Arabidopsis thaliana: one gene and its partners. The protein of the gene in region 2 interacts with the protein of the main gene of each other region in a pairwise test. Each region holds a gene or a part of one and is shown on either strand. Other genes may lie near its edges.

Evidence for each region. Proteins that work in one complex are often made in the same cells at the same time.
Region 1: the proteins of ARCK1 (region 2) and AT2G39100 interact in a two-hybrid assay, tested with the Arabidopsis thaliana proteins (one large-scale study listed by BioGRID).
Region 3: the proteins of ARCK1 (region 2) and AT5G08650 interact in a two-hybrid assay, tested with the Arabidopsis thaliana proteins (one large-scale study listed by BioGRID).

The regions. Positions count from the first base shown.
Region 1 is NC_003071.7:16,315,473-16,320,223, forward strand, and holds AT2G39100 (RING/U-box superfamily protein), read left to right. Parts: upstream 1-1,883; 5' UTR 1,884-1,989; coding exon 1,990-2,360; intron 2,361-2,440; coding exon 2,441-2,578; intron 2,579-2,685; coding exon 2,686-2,740; intron 2,741-2,879; coding exon 2,880-3,136; intron 3,137-3,327; coding exon 3,328-3,397; 3' UTR 3,398-3,415; intron 3,416-3,522; 3' UTR 3,523-3,915; downstream 3,916-4,751. Other genes in the region: APC7 (tetratricopeptide repeat (TPR)-containing protein), read right to left, coding at 42-126, 251-360, 802-864, 960-1,094, 1,372-1,422, 1,514-1,582, 1,693-1,761; AT2G39110 (Protein kinase superfamily protein), read left to right, coding at 4,298-4,316, 4,557-4,751.
Region 2 is NC_003075.7:7,146,103-7,150,809, forward strand, and holds ARCK1 (Protein kinase superfamily protein), read left to right. Parts: upstream 1-2,021; 5' UTR 2,022-2,166; coding exon 2,167-2,236; intron 2,237-2,283; exon of another isoform or gene 2,284-2,327; coding exon 2,328-2,425; intron 2,426-2,512; coding exon 2,513-2,723; intron 2,724-2,814; coding exon 2,815-3,052; intron 3,053-3,145; coding exon 3,146-3,284; intron 3,285-3,361; coding exon 3,362-3,670; 3' UTR 3,671-3,823; downstream 3,824-4,707. Other genes in the region: AGL14 (AGAMOUS-like 14), read left to right, coding at 70-169, 535-576, 690-731, 851-1,006; AT4G11900 (S-locus lectin protein kinase family protein), read right to left, coding at 4,139-4,429, 4,528-4,678. UniProt on the Arabidopsis thaliana protein: Forms a complex with CRK36 that may negatively control abscisic acid (ABA) and osmotic stress signal transduction.
Region 3 is NC_003076.8:2,807,267-2,815,731, reverse strand, and holds the start of AT5G08650 (Small GTP-binding protein), read left to right. Parts: upstream 1-2,129; 5' UTR 2,130-2,511; coding exon 2,512-2,751; intron 2,752-2,847; coding exon 2,848-3,024; intron 3,025-3,122; coding exon 3,123-3,209; intron 3,210-3,408; coding exon 3,409-3,465; intron 3,466-3,625; coding exon 3,626-3,691; intron 3,692-4,127; coding exon 4,128-4,190; intron 4,191-4,544; coding exon 4,545-4,589; intron 4,590-4,692; coding exon 4,693-4,793; intron 4,794-5,055; coding exon 5,056-5,152; intron 5,153-5,394; coding exon 5,395-5,466; intron 5,467-5,937; coding exon 5,938-6,092; intron 6,093-6,175; coding exon 6,176-6,233; intron 6,234-6,517; coding exon 6,518-6,598; intron 6,599-6,827; coding exon 6,828-6,914; intron 6,915-7,033; coding exon 7,034-7,105; intron 7,106-7,195; coding exon 7,196-7,330; intron 7,331-7,440; coding exon 7,441-7,514; intron 7,515-7,899; coding exon 7,900-7,987; intron 7,988-8,305; coding exon 8,306-8,383; intron 8,384-8,465. Other genes in the region: AT5G08660 (D-lactate dehydrogenase (DUF668)), read right to left, coding at 77-167, 262-354, 441-754, 898-1,206. UniProt on the Arabidopsis thaliana protein: Promotes chloroplast protein synthesis. May act as a fidelity factor of the translation reaction, by catalyzing a one-codon backward translocation of tRNAs on improperly translocated ribosomes.

The DNA.
Region 1 (4,751 bases), on a different chromosome or scaffold from region 2:
ATTTGAAGAAGTGGTGAAAGAAATCTCGTAGAAAGGGACACCTGAGTAAACGATGATATGATATCCTTTGCACTAACTCCCAGTTCAGCTAAACCTATGACGGCTTCAAGTACATAAGGACACTGCCTGCAGAGATTAAAGATTATATATATGTTTACTATGTGTTGAATTGGTATTTAACGTAAAAAGTGAGATATTATAACAGTGTTTCTATGCTAGGAAATGTTGGGAAAGAAAACGAAAAACAGACCTTAAACACTCTTTATAAAAAGCAATAGCACCACGGTTGTATCCAGAATTTCGATGAAGCTTTGCCATCAGTATATTCATCTCTAAGCTCCTGGTCTTGACAGATTCCATCTGGCAAAGAAATAACAAGTGCAAAAATAGATTATAGCTAAGCAGACCATGGCTTTATCATCCCTAATACCTACATGCAGTGTTGGAAGGAATCCAATTAGTTTACTTGTTTTGTAATATGGATTTGCATTGATGGGAGCAGGTCAACGCAACAAAATTCAACTCACATTCAGGAATACTATAACAATGCATTAGTTACGGCCCAAGAATGTTTCACTGAAATTACAGTTACTTAACTCTGGTTATAAAATACAATAGCAAGACATAAAAGTCATCCTATACAAAACCAATCTATAATCTTAGAAATAGAGAAATCCCTAGACAGCTCTTTTACCGTCTCATACACACATATTTTATTTTCTATATACCAAAGTTTCTAGACCAACAAATCCAGAAGACTAAATAAATCTTGAAAACCAGACAAACAGATGACACTCATACCTCAGCAATCGCAGCTTTTGTTTCATTAAGAGCAAAGTGAGATGAAGCAATCTTGAATCTCACCTAAAAGGAAAGTTAGAAAAAGAAGATGCACATGAACTCCAATGAAATTAAACCAAACCACATCACTTTCTGGAAACTGCAACACAGTTATTTACCTCGTTCTCATTAATAGCAGAAATGCTGGAGGCATTCACAGATGATCTGGTAGATAAAGATAATGAACTCCTCGAAATACCGGAGCTTTGCTTCGGAATCCTTGTGTAATGATGCAACGCTTGCTTGTACGTATGCTGACAAAAAGAAGGAATACATATTCAGAATTTCGAGATGACTTCAAAGTAATCCACAGGAAAAGAATAAGCAATACAAATATAAAACTTATCTCTGCTCACTCCATAAATTCATATAATCAGAATCTTTACAATTTTATCATAATCCAGTCAAATTCAAGTTCCGAGAATGATTTATAGAGTTCAAATTTGAGGCAGAACTAAACTATCGAGAACTGAGTAACATTTCCTTCACAGCAAAAGAGAAACATAAAGAATGAAACTTTTGAGAACTTACAATAGCTCTCCGGTGTTCTCTCTGATGAAATAAAGCATCACCCAGTAGAATCTGATTAAAAAACACAGAAAGAATCTAACTTCAATCTAACGGACTCAGCAGCTACTAAAATAGAAAATATCGACGGAGAAAGAAGCTTAACCAAATTCTCCGCCTTGAGCTGAGGACTAGTTTCGGCACTAACAGTAGGAGAAGAAACGAGAAAGCAGCCCTGGATTTAGTTGCATATATAGAGAGAATTTCATTAGCTCTTGATGAAAACTAGGGATTTAGAAAAAAAGAGATAGACAATCAAAATGAGCTAAAAGCTAGAGAAGTTACGAGCATTTCAGCAGAATCGTAAAGCCCATGCTCTATTAAAGTCGCGATCTGCTCCTTTGGAACCTCCATTTCAGAGACAAGAGAGTTCGTCGTTAGTGGCAATGGTGAAGTTTTTTCTTCGGAGCAGCGATGAAGTAAAAGATCCTTCACGCTCGCTCTTCATTTTGAAACAAGAAATCTCGAACCGAGTCAACCCAAACCGACATTAACCGGTTATCTATCTGAAATCCATCTCGGTTCATTAAAACCCGACTTTTCCAAGAGCCCGACTTCACCGAACAATCTCTATCTCCGGTCATGCCTCCATTACCGTCCTCCACGGCGCCTTCGTCTTCGAGACATCTTCGATCGCCGGAAAGTATCGCGAAATTTGCAGGGAGAGCAATATTTCCTGCTTTACAGGGGAAATCGTGTCCGATATGCCTCGAAAATCTAACCGAGCGAAGATCCGCCGCCGTGATCACGGTGTGCAAGCACGGATACTGCCTTGCTTGTATTCGGAAGTGGAGCAGCTTCAAGAGGAATTGTCCTCTTTGTAACACTCGTTTTGATTCCTGGTTTATCGTTAGTGATTTTGCTTCTAGAAAATACCATAAGGAGCAATTACCAATTCTTCGTGATCGTGAGACTTTAACTTATCATCGGAATAATCCTTCCGATCGCCGGAGGTTATCTCTCTCTCTAAGATCCTCTCTATGAAGTTAAAAATCACTTCTTTATTATATTCACTTGGTTATTATTTCATTAGGATAATTCAAAGGTCGAGGGATGTTTTGGAAAACTCTAGCTCAAGATCAAGGCCATTGCCATGGCGGAGATCATTTGGACGACCAGGTTCAGTTCCTGATTCTGTTATCTTCCAGCGAAAGCTTCAGTGGCGAGCTAGGTTGGTTTACTATTGATTCTAACTCTATAGCTTCATTTGCAATCTCCTTTTTCGAAGTGTTAGATTAGTTCGCCGTTGTTTCTAACTAGTGTTGGCTCTAAATACAGCATATACACTAAGCAATTACGAGCTGTTCGATTACATTCAAGGCGCTTGGAACTAGTAAGTTTCATTATACAATGTGTTCTTCTCTGTTTGATGTTTGTAGTATTGGGGTTTACACTCTTACATTATTGGATATATGTTCACATTGGAAGCCTTATATATACCTGCTTCGTTGTGTCATCTTGGATTATTGTAGAGTTTGGCGGTGAATGATTACACCAAAGCAAAGATAACTGAAAGAATTGAGCCATGGATTAGAAGAGAGCTTCAGGCAGTCCTTGGAGATCCTGATCCCTCAGTTATTGTTCATTTTGCGTCAGCTCTTTTCATCAAAAGGCTTGAGAGAGAGAATAATCGACAAACCGGGCAGACCGGGATGTTGGTGGAAGATGAAGTCTCCTCTCTTCGAAAATTCTTGTCTGATAAGGTGGATATATTTTGGCATGAACTAAGGTAAGATTTTTATACGCTAGGGTTTTTTCAGAGTTTCAAGTAGTTACAGGTTTAGTATAGTAGTACAGAAAACACATAGGCAACCTAAACCTAGTGACTTGTAAGTCTGAACAGATGATAGAGCTGATATCTGTTTGGTTTAGGTTTTTTGGTCATATACTATTTCTGATGAGAAAGAAAACATTTTTCAGATGTTTTGCGGAGAGTATACTCACGATGGAGACTTATGATGCAGTGGTTGAATACAATGAGGTGGAGTAATAGCAGTAAAAAAAACAGGTAAAGAAATTAGGATATGTATTATGTGGGTTTGGTTTCACTAAGTAGGAACCTGTTTTGCTTCGATGGTTTTTTTTCTGAAGTCATTATGTTGTATTCGCTTGCAGATAACCGAGCACTATGCTCTCGTCAAATGAAGTAAATAGACAGACTTACAACGCGACTGTTGGTGTCTTGGAAGTTCAATAGTGGAAAGACTGGACCAAGTAAGAGAAACCAAGAGTTAAAGAGTAGGTAGGAGGAAGATGTTGAGATGATGCAAGTTTAGGTGTGGAGTTAGTTTTGAGATAGCTATAGGTGGATTCTCAAATAGCTGACACTTAGTCTCTCTACTTCCATAATGTACGTCTCTTCTATACCAAAAATTCTCACCCCCAAAGTTTCTTTCCAACGCTTTTCCTCACCTCATCATTTTTTCTTACGTTTCGAGTACCACCTATTTCAACAACATTAAATATTTTCTATAATTTGACTATCAATTTTTAATAAATTAAAACTATACATAGTTTTAGATAAATTACACGAAGCTTCCATAGAAGAGGAAAGTTCATTTGAATTTCTCTTCTAAACCGTACCTTAAAGATTAAATGGTGAATATACACGGGGAAATTTTTTTAATAAACAACGCGTTCTCTATTAAGGTATTGATTGATATAAGTAAGCAAGCGGGTGTAACACAAAATAAAATATTATAAAAGGCTTCTTCTATAGGTTGGTAAGCGGCAATCCAGCTGCCATTGCCTATTTGACTTCCCCCATTCGATCATGGTGAGCTCGTCTTCTCTCTTCTCCTCTTATCTCTTTCTCTACCATTTTCTTTTGCTTTAAAGCTCTCTCAATCATGATCATGAAGACCCCCATCACAGCATTCCATTCATCCTCATGAATAATTCTACATCAGGTTTCTTCTCTTTCCCTTTCTGATTCTCAACACTCTTACCACATTTCTACTTTTGTGTTGTATATCGATTTTTGTTCTACATTCTTCCAAATGTCAGGGAATCTAGTTGAAATGTGATGATTTTTGTGTTGATAACTTGATATCTGGTATGGATTGAATGATTGGTGATTATCTCTGTTAATTCATCTCTGATCGTGTTTCTGTTTGTGTTGACTTGGAATGTGGACCTGGTTTGGATAGTGAAGAGGCTGGTTTCATCTAAGGCAATGAAATGTTTCTACTTCAGCAAAGACAAAACTCAGGATGATGAAGCTAAGACTAGAAAGTTTGGTTCAGCTACGATGGCTAGAGGAGGATCAGGGTCTGAGTTTAATTCAGATACAAGTACTGCTACTTCCATTACTTCTTCCTTGCACGTCCTCTCAGAGACACACA
Region 2 (4,707 bases):
GTTATGAATGTAACGTTTACATTGTAAGCGTCTATTTACCATATGTTTAAAAAATATATACATTTGCAGAAAAATGATGGGAGAAGGACTTGACGCATCTTCTATAGAAGAGTTACAACAATTGGAGAACCAGTTGGACAGAAGCTTAATGAAAATAAGAGCCAAAAAGGTAACTTCTAGATTATTGTATATGTGATCATTTCTTAGTTTTAAAATAAAATCTTCACTCTTATCATATGGTTATTGTTTCATCGAGATTTATGACAATGACGTGGTGGCCGCCTGGTTCGATTATCACAAATGAGTTGATTATGTAAACAATATAAACATGGGATCATCCTATAAACACTCCAAATACACACATACACACACACACACACACACACACACACTTGGAGGCATGCATGCATGCATGCATATGTGTTGAGAAAAGACTTATATGTTATCTTCTTCTTCTTTTTTGTCATCACCTTATATGTTATCTTTAATGAGTCTTTTACCAACTAATTTAGCTATTTAATTCCTTAATTTCAGTACCAGTTATTACGAGAAGAAACTGAGAAATTAAAAGAAAAGGTAACATGTAGCTTTTTTATTAATTTAGTACAAATGTATTGGTCAGGTACTAATCATATTTCCCATAATTAAACGGTTAAACCATATTTCATGGTTTATTGTCAATATTTTAGGAGAGGAACCTCATTGCAGAAAATAAAATGCTGATGGAGAAGGTACAAATTAATATTAACTTACGGGCTGATTTATGTTCTCAATTCTCATTCTATTATTATGAAATTATCTGCTTTTTTTCAAAAAGTGTGTTTTAATTTGAGGAAATGTGTGAATGAAGTGTGAGATGCAAGGAAGAGGAATAATAGGAAGAATATCATCATCATCATCAACATCAGAACTGGATATAGATGACAATGAAATGGAAGTGGTGACTGATTTGTTCATTGGACCTCCTGAGACTCGACACTTCAAAAAGTTTCCTCCTTCAAACTAACATATATAGTACAATGCTTATATAGATATTATGTAGGGAATTACTTTTTTCCCTGAAGAAAAATTGATGTTACTTACTGAATTTAGCAGTTGCATAAAAAAAAAGATTACTGCATTTAAGCTTTGCTTTTTTTTTCTTTTTGTTTTTTTCTTTTGTATCGTCTCACCCAACTTTGCAATCCTAAAATAATTTCAGAATAAATTGTTTAACAGGTTTTTTATTTAACATAATTTTTTCATATCTTTTTAAAAATAATTGTTTAGAATATAACTAATTTGATCGATATATTATATGTTCGGGACAAGTTCTTGGAGAGTGAAAACAAATCCGGGTGCGTAGCTAGGTCGGTTCCCTATAATGGCTTTGCGGATAAGATCTCCATGTTTCATGCTAGACATGAAGATGATGTATGATTTATATACGAATAATGGGTCAGTTGGAAAGATTTTTGAATCCTAGTAGAGGTATGGTCTTTTGAACTCGGGAAAAGTTGCATTGCACCGACCTCTTAAAGTCCTTTTACACTTGGTCTAGACCCAAAAATCGTTGGCTTTCTATGATCGGTCTTTGTCAGCGTGTCATTTACGTGACGTGGTTGGTTTGGTTCGAAATTTCTAAGTAGCTGAAAATTCAGTTCCGTTCCTTCCAAGAACATCATCTTGAAGTAGAATTCTTTGTGACAAACAAAAAAAAATGGTAGAATTCTATGGTTATATATATATATATATATATATATATATATATGTTTATTATAACAACAGACCTAATATCTTCTATGTTTTATGTAATATCTATTTATTTTTTGTTATTTATTGAACCTACATACAAATAAAACAAAACAAAGTAAACTTCTAAATAATATATTTTTCATTTTCATTTTAGTTGAAATATAATTTGATTTTCAATACCAAACTATATAATATCAATATTCAGAATAAGTTAATTGTTACGTATTAAAAACAATGCAAGAACAAATGAAGAAGCCAAAATATCCAAAATGAATAGTAGAAGTCAAGGTCAACATAGTGGACTCTAACAATATCAACGAAGTCAACCGTTGAAGAAATTAAATAACTTGTCTAATAAGTTCTTCTTTTTTCTTGGATTAAATACTTGTTTGAAGCAAATTCAGAGACACTGTCTTCGTCTTCATCTTTGCTATGGCCGTTACTTCGCTTCTCGATACCGTTTTCCGACGTAGAAAGAAGAAGTCTACTGAGTTTATAAGCTGTAAGTATTCATGTTTCTTCTTCTCAAACCTTTTCCTCACATCTGTTACAAAACACACAAAACTATGTTTAATTCTACTTGTCTCTACTAGATACAGCAGTTTTCGAATTCGACTTGGACACCATTAAAGCTGCAACAAATGATTTCTCAGAACTGGTTGGTCGTGGCGGATTTGGTTTTGTTTACAAGGTTTGTTTTTAGTGGTTTCGTACGTTGGTTCGTTTTTAGTGTATGGTAAGAAATTGTAATTAAAACATCCTTTTAAATCATTTTCAGGGTAGGCTTCAAAATGGACAAGAAATAGCAGTCAAGATTTTGTCTACAAGTTCAATTAGAACTGAGAGACAGTTTCATAACGAACTTATTATTTTGTCTAAGCTTAAACACAAGAATCTGATCAATCTTCTTGGTTTCTGCACTAAACGAGACCAACATGGTCTTGTTTACGAGTTCATGCCTAACTCAAGCCTCGATTGTTTTATACTCGGTTAGACAGTTTAAAACAGAGTACCCTTTCCAAATACAATCTAGTCTAGTATCAAGTTCTCATCATTAGTCATTGTGGTAATGTGTTACAGACCCACACAGAGCTGCTCAGCTAAATTGGGAGATGTGCCGAAACATTATTGATGGCATAGCTCGAGGGCTACGTTACCTTCATGAAGAATCCGGGTTATGGGTCGTTCACCGCGACATTAAACCTGGAAACATTCTATTGGATTCAGATTTGAAACCGAAAATAGTGGGATTTGAATTGGCGAGGACGATGCAACAAGGTGAAAACGCAGCTGAAACAACTGAAATTGTCGGTACCGTGTAAGTGAAGTTTTGTGATTTAACATGCTTGAGGGTAAATGTTTTGAAGATGTTTAGAGTGTGATGTATAAAACATTTTTTGATTATCAACAGAGGGTATTTAGATCCGGAGTACATACGAAGCGGACGTGTTTCCGTCAAATCTGACGTTTATGCCTTTGGAGTTACAATCTTGACGATCATTAGCAGAAGGAAGGCTTGGAGTGTGGACGGAGACTCTCTAATCAAATATGTGAGTTTATATTTAAGTAAAAGTTTGTATGATGGTAATTAAGTGGTTCCTTAATCGTATGAATTGTCTTCTTTTAGGTTAGGAGATGCTGGAACAGAGGAGAAGCCATAGATGTGATCCATGAAGTGATGAGGGAAGAAGAAAGAGAATATTCGATAAGCGAAATCTTGAGATACATTCACATTGCTTTGCTATGTGTGGATGAGAATGCTGAGAGAAGGCCGAATATTGATAAAGTTCTGCATTGGTTTAGTTGTTTCTCTACTCCTTTACCTGATCCAACATTTGGTAATAGATTTCTTGTAGAGGAAGAAACAAATTGGCCCTGGTCGCCATCTTTATCTCCTGGTCACAGCTCTGTCACGTCACCCATATCTTCACGTTAAGGAGATTGAGTGCTCTGTTTTATTAGACTGACGAGAGTTTATGATGAAAAGAATTGTTGGTTGATAAGTTCAAGTCGTAATTTGCTATTGTCTTCTTCTTTTTGTGCCCAAATCCAGTAAGACCATTTAGGACGATTCAACAATTATTTGATTACTTTGTTTTCAAATGACAAAGAATAAAATATTTTAAAGAACACTCTCAGCATCACATAAGCAGTTTAAGTAAATACTCTTATCTAATAAATCAGGGGATAACCAAGTGTCGTTAGCTCAATTGGTAAAAACCCTACACGAAGCTTATAGGTCGCCGGTTCGAGTGACACTTGAAACGAAACTAATATTACATGTTGTGGTTTCGGGCCTGGAAGATTACAGGCTTCGGCCCAGAACCTCCTGGTATTAAAAAAAAATAAAAAATAATAATAATTCAGGGGATATAGCAACATTTTTACCAAGTATTGTTAATGTTCATCGCGCTTCCAGTTCTGTTTGCGTTGCTTCGTTTATGGAGAATACGTAGTCTAGCTGTTGATCCCCGTTCAACACGTTTGAGAAAGTTGGTTGTTTCGGAATCGGAAGAGTGTTATCGTTGCTCAACATATAAACGATTTGTGAAATCATGGGTCTATCTTTAGGATGATCTTGAACACAAAGAAGTGCGATATGAATGCACCGCATCGCTTCTTCTAAAGAATACGAACAACACATTGGTTCATCTATAATGCTTACACCTTTTGTTTCACACCAAGATTCCCATTCCTGAAGATGATCAACAACATATAGTTTGGGATTGATCTAAGGTAAGTTACGTTTTTATATATGGTAGATAAATGATATTGAACTATAGAAACACTTACATAAGCAATAAGGCTGTGTTTTTGGTCGTTATGAACAAACCTTGTCGCCTTTTTACCCGATATGATCTCCAATAACAACACTCCAAAGCTGTATATATCCGATTTCTCTGAAATCACTCCACCTAATGCATATTCCGGTGACATATAGCCGCTGAAATTAACCGCTTATGAAATTTAATC
Region 3 (8,465 bases), on a different chromosome or scaffold from region 2:
CAGAACACCACATCTAAGTAGCAAGAACAAGTCAATATGCTTTTAGAGTTTCTAATTTTTGAAAGTAGTCACTCACAGCAGTATACTGCACTAGAACCATCAGTTGGTCAACAACCAACACCGCGTCTTCCTTTAACTGCCTTTGAGGGGTTAATTCTTTGCTGATCCTGAGGACAAAAGAAACGATTCGGCAGCTTAAAAGAAAGCTAGACAAACAAATATTAACATTCTCCCATGTACAAATATTTTGAATAAAGCTACCTATCGAAATAGCGCTGTAAATTATGCCACTGAAAATCTTTGGATCGGTTTCCAAACCGAACCACTTCCCCCGAGAAAACTTGCAGCTCCTGCCTGCAAATATATCAAGTTAACTATCTTGCCATGTTTTAAAAAAGCTAGGAAAAAACAAAAGAAGCCGTCTAGACTAAAATTTTCACCTCTTATCAGCTGCAACAAGTCTGAGTAGTTCATCGAAATCATTCGAGACTAGGTTTTGAACACCCTCAGAATAAAGGATAGTTCCTTTTAAATGCTCGATGTTCCTCTTAGAAAGGGATTCAATGAGATTTGAGCTTTTGACAATTGTGTTTGCTACTTCAAAAGCTAAGATCCCAAGTTCATTGCCTTTAGTTGCAACTCCAGAAGTAAATCCACCGCTACTAAGATCTGTCATGCTACTTCCAAGGGTATCCAAAACATCTTTTGCTCTACCTAACCCCGCTTTGCCTAAAAGCTTACTTGCCTCTGTAACCTGCCACAGTATAGCAAATTCGGATTGGTCTCACGACATTTCAGGACTTCTAAACTTAAAAGACACTTGCCGTTACTAAGAGACAATGCTTTAACTCTTAATCTTAGTTGCTAAAAAAGGAGCTTCATTTGGTCCATACTAACCTTTGAAACAGCGGTTTGAGTTGATTTTGCAGACCGAATTTTCTGTGATGGAGCCATAGTATACGTCGGAATTCCATCATAGAAATTATCTTCAGCTTCCCTTTCGCGGAAAGAGAAAACATCTTTTAATTGATTTTGTTCCTTGACGTCTTTAACCATAAGCTGCCTCATACCAGGAACAATCAAACTGGTTTGCCCATTTGGTTGTGAGTGGCCAAAATCAGGTTCTCGACCATCATCAGCCACACTAGAACCAGAATACTCGCTGCCAAAATTGATTCCAAGGCTCTTGGAGCAAAAACTCCCCATAACTCTTTTCCAAAGACCTTTAAGCTAAGTTATCGAAAAGATCATGCCACTGTGGGGAAGAGTAATAACCTAGAACAAAGGAAAAAGTCAGATCAAGAGACTCAAGGAGACCAAATCTTCCAAACTAAATTAGTAACACAGAGATAGGATCGTGTCCGAAATAGTTTAAGACATTGTAATCGCCTTGGGGGAAATTAACAGATTCACATAAAGCCAAAGCCGTTCACGAAGTAAAAGCCTTTAAGTCAAACACTGTGCAAGTCTTCTTTCTCCAAAAAACCTAAGCAAGATCGTATTTTGAGGAGAGGAATGCGAAGAAGAAGACTTACCCAGTAGAGAAAAAGACCAGAAAAGACTTGGGCCAAGCCAATTTCGGAGGTATAGAGCTTGGGATTCACGACACACAACAGTGAAAAGACAAAAGAGACAAAGGAACCTCGAACACGAGAGAATTGATGTTAAAAAGGAGAAAGTCAAGGAGAGTAGTATGAACTAGGAACGAAGGAAGAAATCAGAAAAACAAAAATTAAAAGAGAGATTGGACCACACCAAATTGGCATCAGCTAAAGCCAAATTGAAACAACCAGCTTGATAAAGAAACAAACGAAGAAAAGTCTAAACCTTTTTTCTTTTAATCTCCTCACACTCCATGTTAATAAAAAGAGTCACAGGCGGTGATGGATTGGTCAAATCGTCCCTTATTACCACGCCATTGACTCATTTTGTGCTCTGTCTTTTTACATTCCGTGCAAGTAAAAAACTCATCTTTACTTTCAATCCCTCACTCCTCTTACTTCTAAACCGAAATTGCGCTAAAAGGTTAGGACTTTTCATAGGGATTAAATTAGTCTTAAAAGGCATGTGAAGATCTTATATAAGAAATGATTAAACACTAATCAACTCATCATTGAATAAAAAAGAGTCTTATATTCTCAAAATGCATGATTTCTGGTTCATCGAATCAAATCATAGCACAACAATATTGAACAAAAAGCTTATTTCTATGTTTTTTGACATTTGATGTTCTACTTCGAATATTTTTGGGTTTAGAATTATCTGATTTAAAATCAATTTATTTGATCTTGTTCAGTTTCATTAAATTTGTGGTCTAATTTCGGTTTAATTCACACAAAACAAATTCGTTATTTTAAGAAAACAGATTTGGATCGAATCGGGTCGGGTGGGTTAGAATCCGATGGACAGGCCCAATTGGATACAGTGGCCCAGTTACATAGTCTGTGGCTCAGGATACTTTGAATTTCTCTCAAAACAGTAGAGAGAGGTGTAGAGAGCTTAGACAGTGCCATGGCCATGGCTTCTGCTATGGACTTATCTTCTCCTCCAACGTTTTTCTTATCCGGAACTTCTACATCTTCCCCATCTCTCCGTCGTCTCTCCTCCATTTCCGTCTCTGGATTCCGCCGTCACTCTAATCGGAAGTTACAGATACTTTGCCAAGCCACAGCTGGAACTGAGCCTCAGAGCGGTCTCTCTGTCTCTGGCTCCAAATTAGCCGCCCGTTCTGGTCAAGACCGTCTTTTGAAGGTCGGGTTCTGTTTTGTTCTCTCTCTTCATCCGTGTGCCGAAACTTGAGAAGAATTTGGATTTTTTTTGAAACTGAATTTGTTATGAAATTCGCAGGTTCCAATTTCGAACATCAGGAATTTTAGTATTATAGCTCATATTGATCATGGGAAATCTACGTTAGCGGATAAGTTGCTTCAGGTGACTGGTACTGTTCAGAACAGAGATATGAAGGAGCAGTTTCTTGATAACATGGACTTAGAGAGAGAACGAGGCATCACTATCAAGCTTCAGGTTTTTCTTTCAATCGCTTTCTCTGCACAATCAAAAATCAGTTTCGATAAGATTGCTCAACGGTCTGATTTGTAACTTTGCGGTGTATGTTTGTGTAGGCAGCTCGAATGCGTTATGTTTATGAAGATACACCGTTTTGCCTCAACTTGATAGATACTCCAGGTCATGTTGATTTCTCTTACGAGGTACTTACAATATTCTAATCTACTTATTGTCTACGGATACATTTGAAGCTTAGCCTTATAGTTATTTTTCATATGTGAGAAGTTACTTGGTTTGAGTGTTATATATCACCTAAAAGCGTAATTTTTTTTACAGTTAGGAATATACACAAACTATTAAGTTGCAGTTTTGATGAAGAATGCACTGTTTATTTGTACATAGGTTTCCCGATCTCTTGCTGCTTGCGAGGGTGCTCTTCTTGTTGTGGATGCATCCCAGGTGATTTTTCTTTCTCTTGACATACAATTTTCTGACACGCTGTGGAAACCTGGAATCTGTATTGTTTATGCCGTTTTTTCGCTTGGTAATTTCGTTCTTTTCTGATGGTTACATACTTACATTACTGAAAAACTTAAACTTCCTCTATCATGTGCTTTAGGGTGTGGAAGCACAAACATTGGCTAATGTGTATTTGGCCTTGGAAAACAACCTCGAAATTATTCCCGTAAGTACGGAATTATGCTTCATCTTATTAGCTATATGTGCTAGTTATCATCATTCCTTTTAACAAATCACATTTCAACTATATGTGGTAGTTATCATCATTCTTTCCTTCGTCTCATCTCCATGGAAGATTATTTAAAAATGTCAATGTCGTTTTATTTAAAAGAAGTCGGAGTCTGCAATAAGTTAACTTTCAAACAAGGCAAATATGTTAAAAAAAATAGGTAGTATCACTCTGGCAGTACATAGAAGATGCGTAGTAAAGAAAAGAATAGCTAGTCTAGGATAAAATGATTATATCATTTAACGTTTCATTATTGCTTCAACCTGATTCATGACTATACAGGAAATAATAATGTAAGGTGGTTTATTCTTCTTTCAAATATTTGGTCTGCATACCAGAGTTTAAAGCAAATGAACTCTACTTCTTCCTGCAGGTTTTAAATAAGATTGACCTTCCAGGCGCTGAGCCAGAGAAAGTTCTCAGGGAGATTGAGGAGGTTGGTGATTATGTTCATTGTGTTACCCATTTTATGATGTTCGTATTCAATAGCAATCATACAATGCAACCAGTAATAATTTGAACAGTATTCCTTTTTGGGTGTCTGCAAAAACTCTTCAGTCTTTTATTTTTCTGTTGTCAATATGTTATCTTGACATTTTACAAGGTTCTAGCTTCTAGTATTAGATATTATGTTGATTATTGCGGTACATTCTTTTATGCTTTAAACATTTTCTTTGTGATATTATGATCCAGTCTCATGTTCCTCGAATGGGGTAATTGTCTCATTGCTGCAATTTCAGAGACATCAGCCTTTATGTGAACACTGATTGATAATTCATATTGTTTGTAGGTTATTGGGTTAGATTGTAGCAAAGCGATATTCTGTTCGGCAAAGGTTAGATTTTAAAATTGTTTTGCTATTCTGCTACCCAAAAATTAAGACGTGTGGCTTTCTATCCATTCAATTACAATTTTTGGGGAATAATATATACACGCAGGAGGGAATTGGTATTACCGAGATTTTGGATGCAATTGTTCAAAGGATACCTGCACCTCTCGATACTGCAGGAAAGCCCTTAAGAGCTTTAATTTTTGACAGGTTTGCACTTGTTGTTTTTATTCATAACGATTTTTGCCTTTTCTAGAGAAAACAGTATGAAATTGAGTCTTGGAGTCGAAGTTGTATTCGTATATAATGATTGGACTGATCATTGGCATGTCAAGTCAGTACCAGTTAATCACTGGTGAACTAAAAATGAGTGTGAAATACTCGTGTTTGTTTTGCTTGATTAGTCTACAAGTGTGCAGTTTTTATATGTGAACTACTTTATATTTTTCGTCCAAAATTCATTTTGCTGCAGTTATTATGATCCATATCGTGGTGTCATTGTATACTTTCGAGTTATCGATGGGAAAGTGAAGAAAGGCGACAGAATTTTTTTCATGGCAAGCGGAAAGGTTTATCTCTTTTACTCTACTGTACTGTCTTTCTATTTAATCGAGATAGCTTTCCATTTGCCAATAATGAATTGAATGTAATTTGTGCATGAGATAGGTTTTCGCGGTCTATTTGAATAAAGCGATGTGAAGTGTTATTCTATAATTCTTTCAGGAAAAATTTGAGAATGTTTAAGCTTTTAAGAACGCTTACTTGTGTTTCACTAGTATCCTTCATGTTCTCAGTTTTGCATCAATTGCAGGATTATTTTGCGGATGAAGTCGGAGTTCTATCTCCAAATCAAATTCAAGTGGATGAATTATATGCGGGTGAGGTAGTGTACTCTTTTGAACATAATATTTTGTTTGTTTTGTTTACTTTCCTGTGCATCCATGTCCCATTTTCTTGTTGAATTTTTTTCTTTCAGCAGAAACCTTGGTATTATGAAATGAAAATGTCAGTATTCTTTTGCAGTTTCCGCCGTTCTATTCCAACACATGTTAATAGGAAAACTAAAAGCGTTTGTAAATGGAAGGATTTTCTTAGCATTTCCTTGTAGCAGCTTTGGCAGAAGATAGAGTTGTGGTTAATAACAATTTGAATGCAATGAAACAAATATGTTTTCACTTTTCTTGTTTGGCTATATTTGAGAAGAAATGGTTAGTTGCATCTTCCCTTGCTCAAGTTCTAATAGCTAGAAAGATGTTTTTAGCACTGATTGATGCTGCTGGTGTATATCAGATATGCCTGAATATCATGCCACATTTCTTGCACATATTTTAAAGGTTACTGTCCTTAAATACAGGTAGGATATATTGCGGCTTCTGTAAGATCTGTTGCAGATGCCAGGGTAGGAGATACAATAACACATTATAGCAGAAAGGCAGAAAGCTCTTTACCTGGTTACGAGGAAGCTACCCCTATGGTGTTCTGTGGTCTTTTTCCAGTTGACGCTGACCAGTACTGAGTTTTTGTTTTTCATTGTTGACTTTTTGCTTTTTCATTTTGTATTTTTTTTTTTCACACCTGGTCTATGATGGCAGGTTTCCCGATCTTCGCGATGCATTGGAAAAACTGCAACTCAATGATGCTGCATTGAAGGTATAGTAGAATTAAATGACAGAAACAACATTTTTCTTTCATCTGTACCCAGAATAATTTGCACGGACGAAACAACTATGGTCTTCGTATGCTTACTTAGCCAATGTATGTTTATGCCCAGTTGGCTTCGAATTGGAAAGTAAAATTGTGTTTTGCAAAGAACTGGTCTTCAGTCCTCTATTGTATGTATCTTTGTTAAAAATATTCACATTTGGTCTAAGGAGCGTATACGTTAGCATTAACATATCTATAGGTTTGTCCTCAACTTGGTTTTTATCCTGCAGTTTGAGCCTGAAACTTCGAGTGCCATGGGATTTGGCTTTAGATGCGGGTTTTTGGGTCTTCTCCACATGGAAATTGTGCAGGTCAGATATGTTTCGCTCTTCTTGTTCTAAAGTGTTTTTGGTGCGTCTCTGACTGAAAATTTCCTATGCAACAGAAGATAGAGAAAAGAAATTCATAGATACTGAGTTATCTGTTAGTATTTTACTTATTTACAGTTTCCTCCCCGATAGATACCCGCCATAAATTATACTCAACAAAGTGAATTATATCATTCTTTGTTCTTACGCTCCAGTTCACTCTTCTTCACAGGAAAGGCTAGAGAGGGAGTACAACTTAAATCTTATTACCACAGCTCCAAGTGTTGTTTATAGGGTGAACTCTGTAAATGGTGATACTGTAATTTCCTCTTGATCCCAAACTTTTAAATATTCTTCTTTGTTCCCTGAAAATCGCATCCTTTTGTCTTTCTTTCTTGATCTAGAGCCTTATTACCTGTGAAATCAATTTTACTGCAGACTTTGTGCTCAAATCCATCACGCCTTCCAGATCCTGGGCAAAGGAAATCGGTCGAGGAGCCATACGTTAAGGTTGCCTTTTCTACTGGAGATATTGCTGATAAGTTCACACACCACATTTCGTAGAATTACATTTCCTTACTGCAAAACCATTTTATACAGATTGAACTGCTCACACCAAAAGACTATATTGGTGCGCTTATGGAGCTCGCTCAAGAGAGGAGAGGGGAGTTCAAAGAAATGAAATATATAGCTGAGAACAGAGCTTCAATCCTCTATGAGTTACCTCTTGCAGAGGTGAGATCTCTGCTTGTGCAGAGTTAAGATAACCCCAATGAAAGTTTAGCCATGTCTCTCTTGATTATGTAAACTGATCTTCTTGTTAATCGCTCCCTGCCATTTTGCAGATGGTGGGTGATTTCTTTGACCAATTGAAGTCGAGAACCAAGGGATATGCTAGCATGGAATACTCCGTTATTGGGTTAGATCTTTCAACTTTTAATACACAGATCTTTCTCTTACTTTGTGATGCTTGCCTTCTATTTTTGTTGATTAACAAAGAAATGCGTCAGCTTTTTTGTGAAGATAAGAATCTATATTCTTTTCATAGTAATCCCAAAGTGATAAACAAGTATCTAAAATATATATATTTGCTTAGCAGCATCAGATCAATTTCAATCAGGTTAATTATCGTGTTGCTCTCTATCGTTAAATTTGGTAGCCCTTCTTTATACAAGTTAACTACTCAGCTTCGTCAGTTTCCATTTAAGCTTAATACATAATATGTTTCTTTTGCTCTTTTTGATGTCTTTCTTACCATCTTAAGGTATTCAACTTTTTTTTTTTGTCTTGTAATATGTGAGCAGGTACAGGGAAAGTGATCTGATAAAACTCGATATTCTGATTAATGCTGAAATGGTGGAACCTTTGTCAACCATCGTACACAGGGATAAGGTTATTTTGCTTAAGCTCTTTAATATGAACTTTTATGAATACAGCATACATACGCACTCTTACACCTGAATACAAAAATTTGGTTCAGCAATCTCATTGATACAATTTCACTTGCCCAAAAAGTTTGGATAAGTAGATTGATGGAAACACGAGGCGCTGCCAACTATCTTTTACACATCTCTGATTGTAAAGTTTTGTAGAACTGTTCCCATTAGCTTAAAGCTCTTACGGCAGAGATTAGTACATCTCTCACGATTTAGCAATGATTTATATCTTGTCCTCACAGTATTGTGGAATCGTTTTGTACTGTGATTCCAGGCATATTCCGTTGGGAGAGCTTTGACTCAGAAACTCAAAGAGCTTATTCCACGACAAATGTTTAAAGTGCCCATCCAGGTATATATCTGCATTTCCAAGCATTTGCAAACAATTGGCTAGAGAGTTCTCTTCCAAATAACTTACATTTCTACGAATGCTT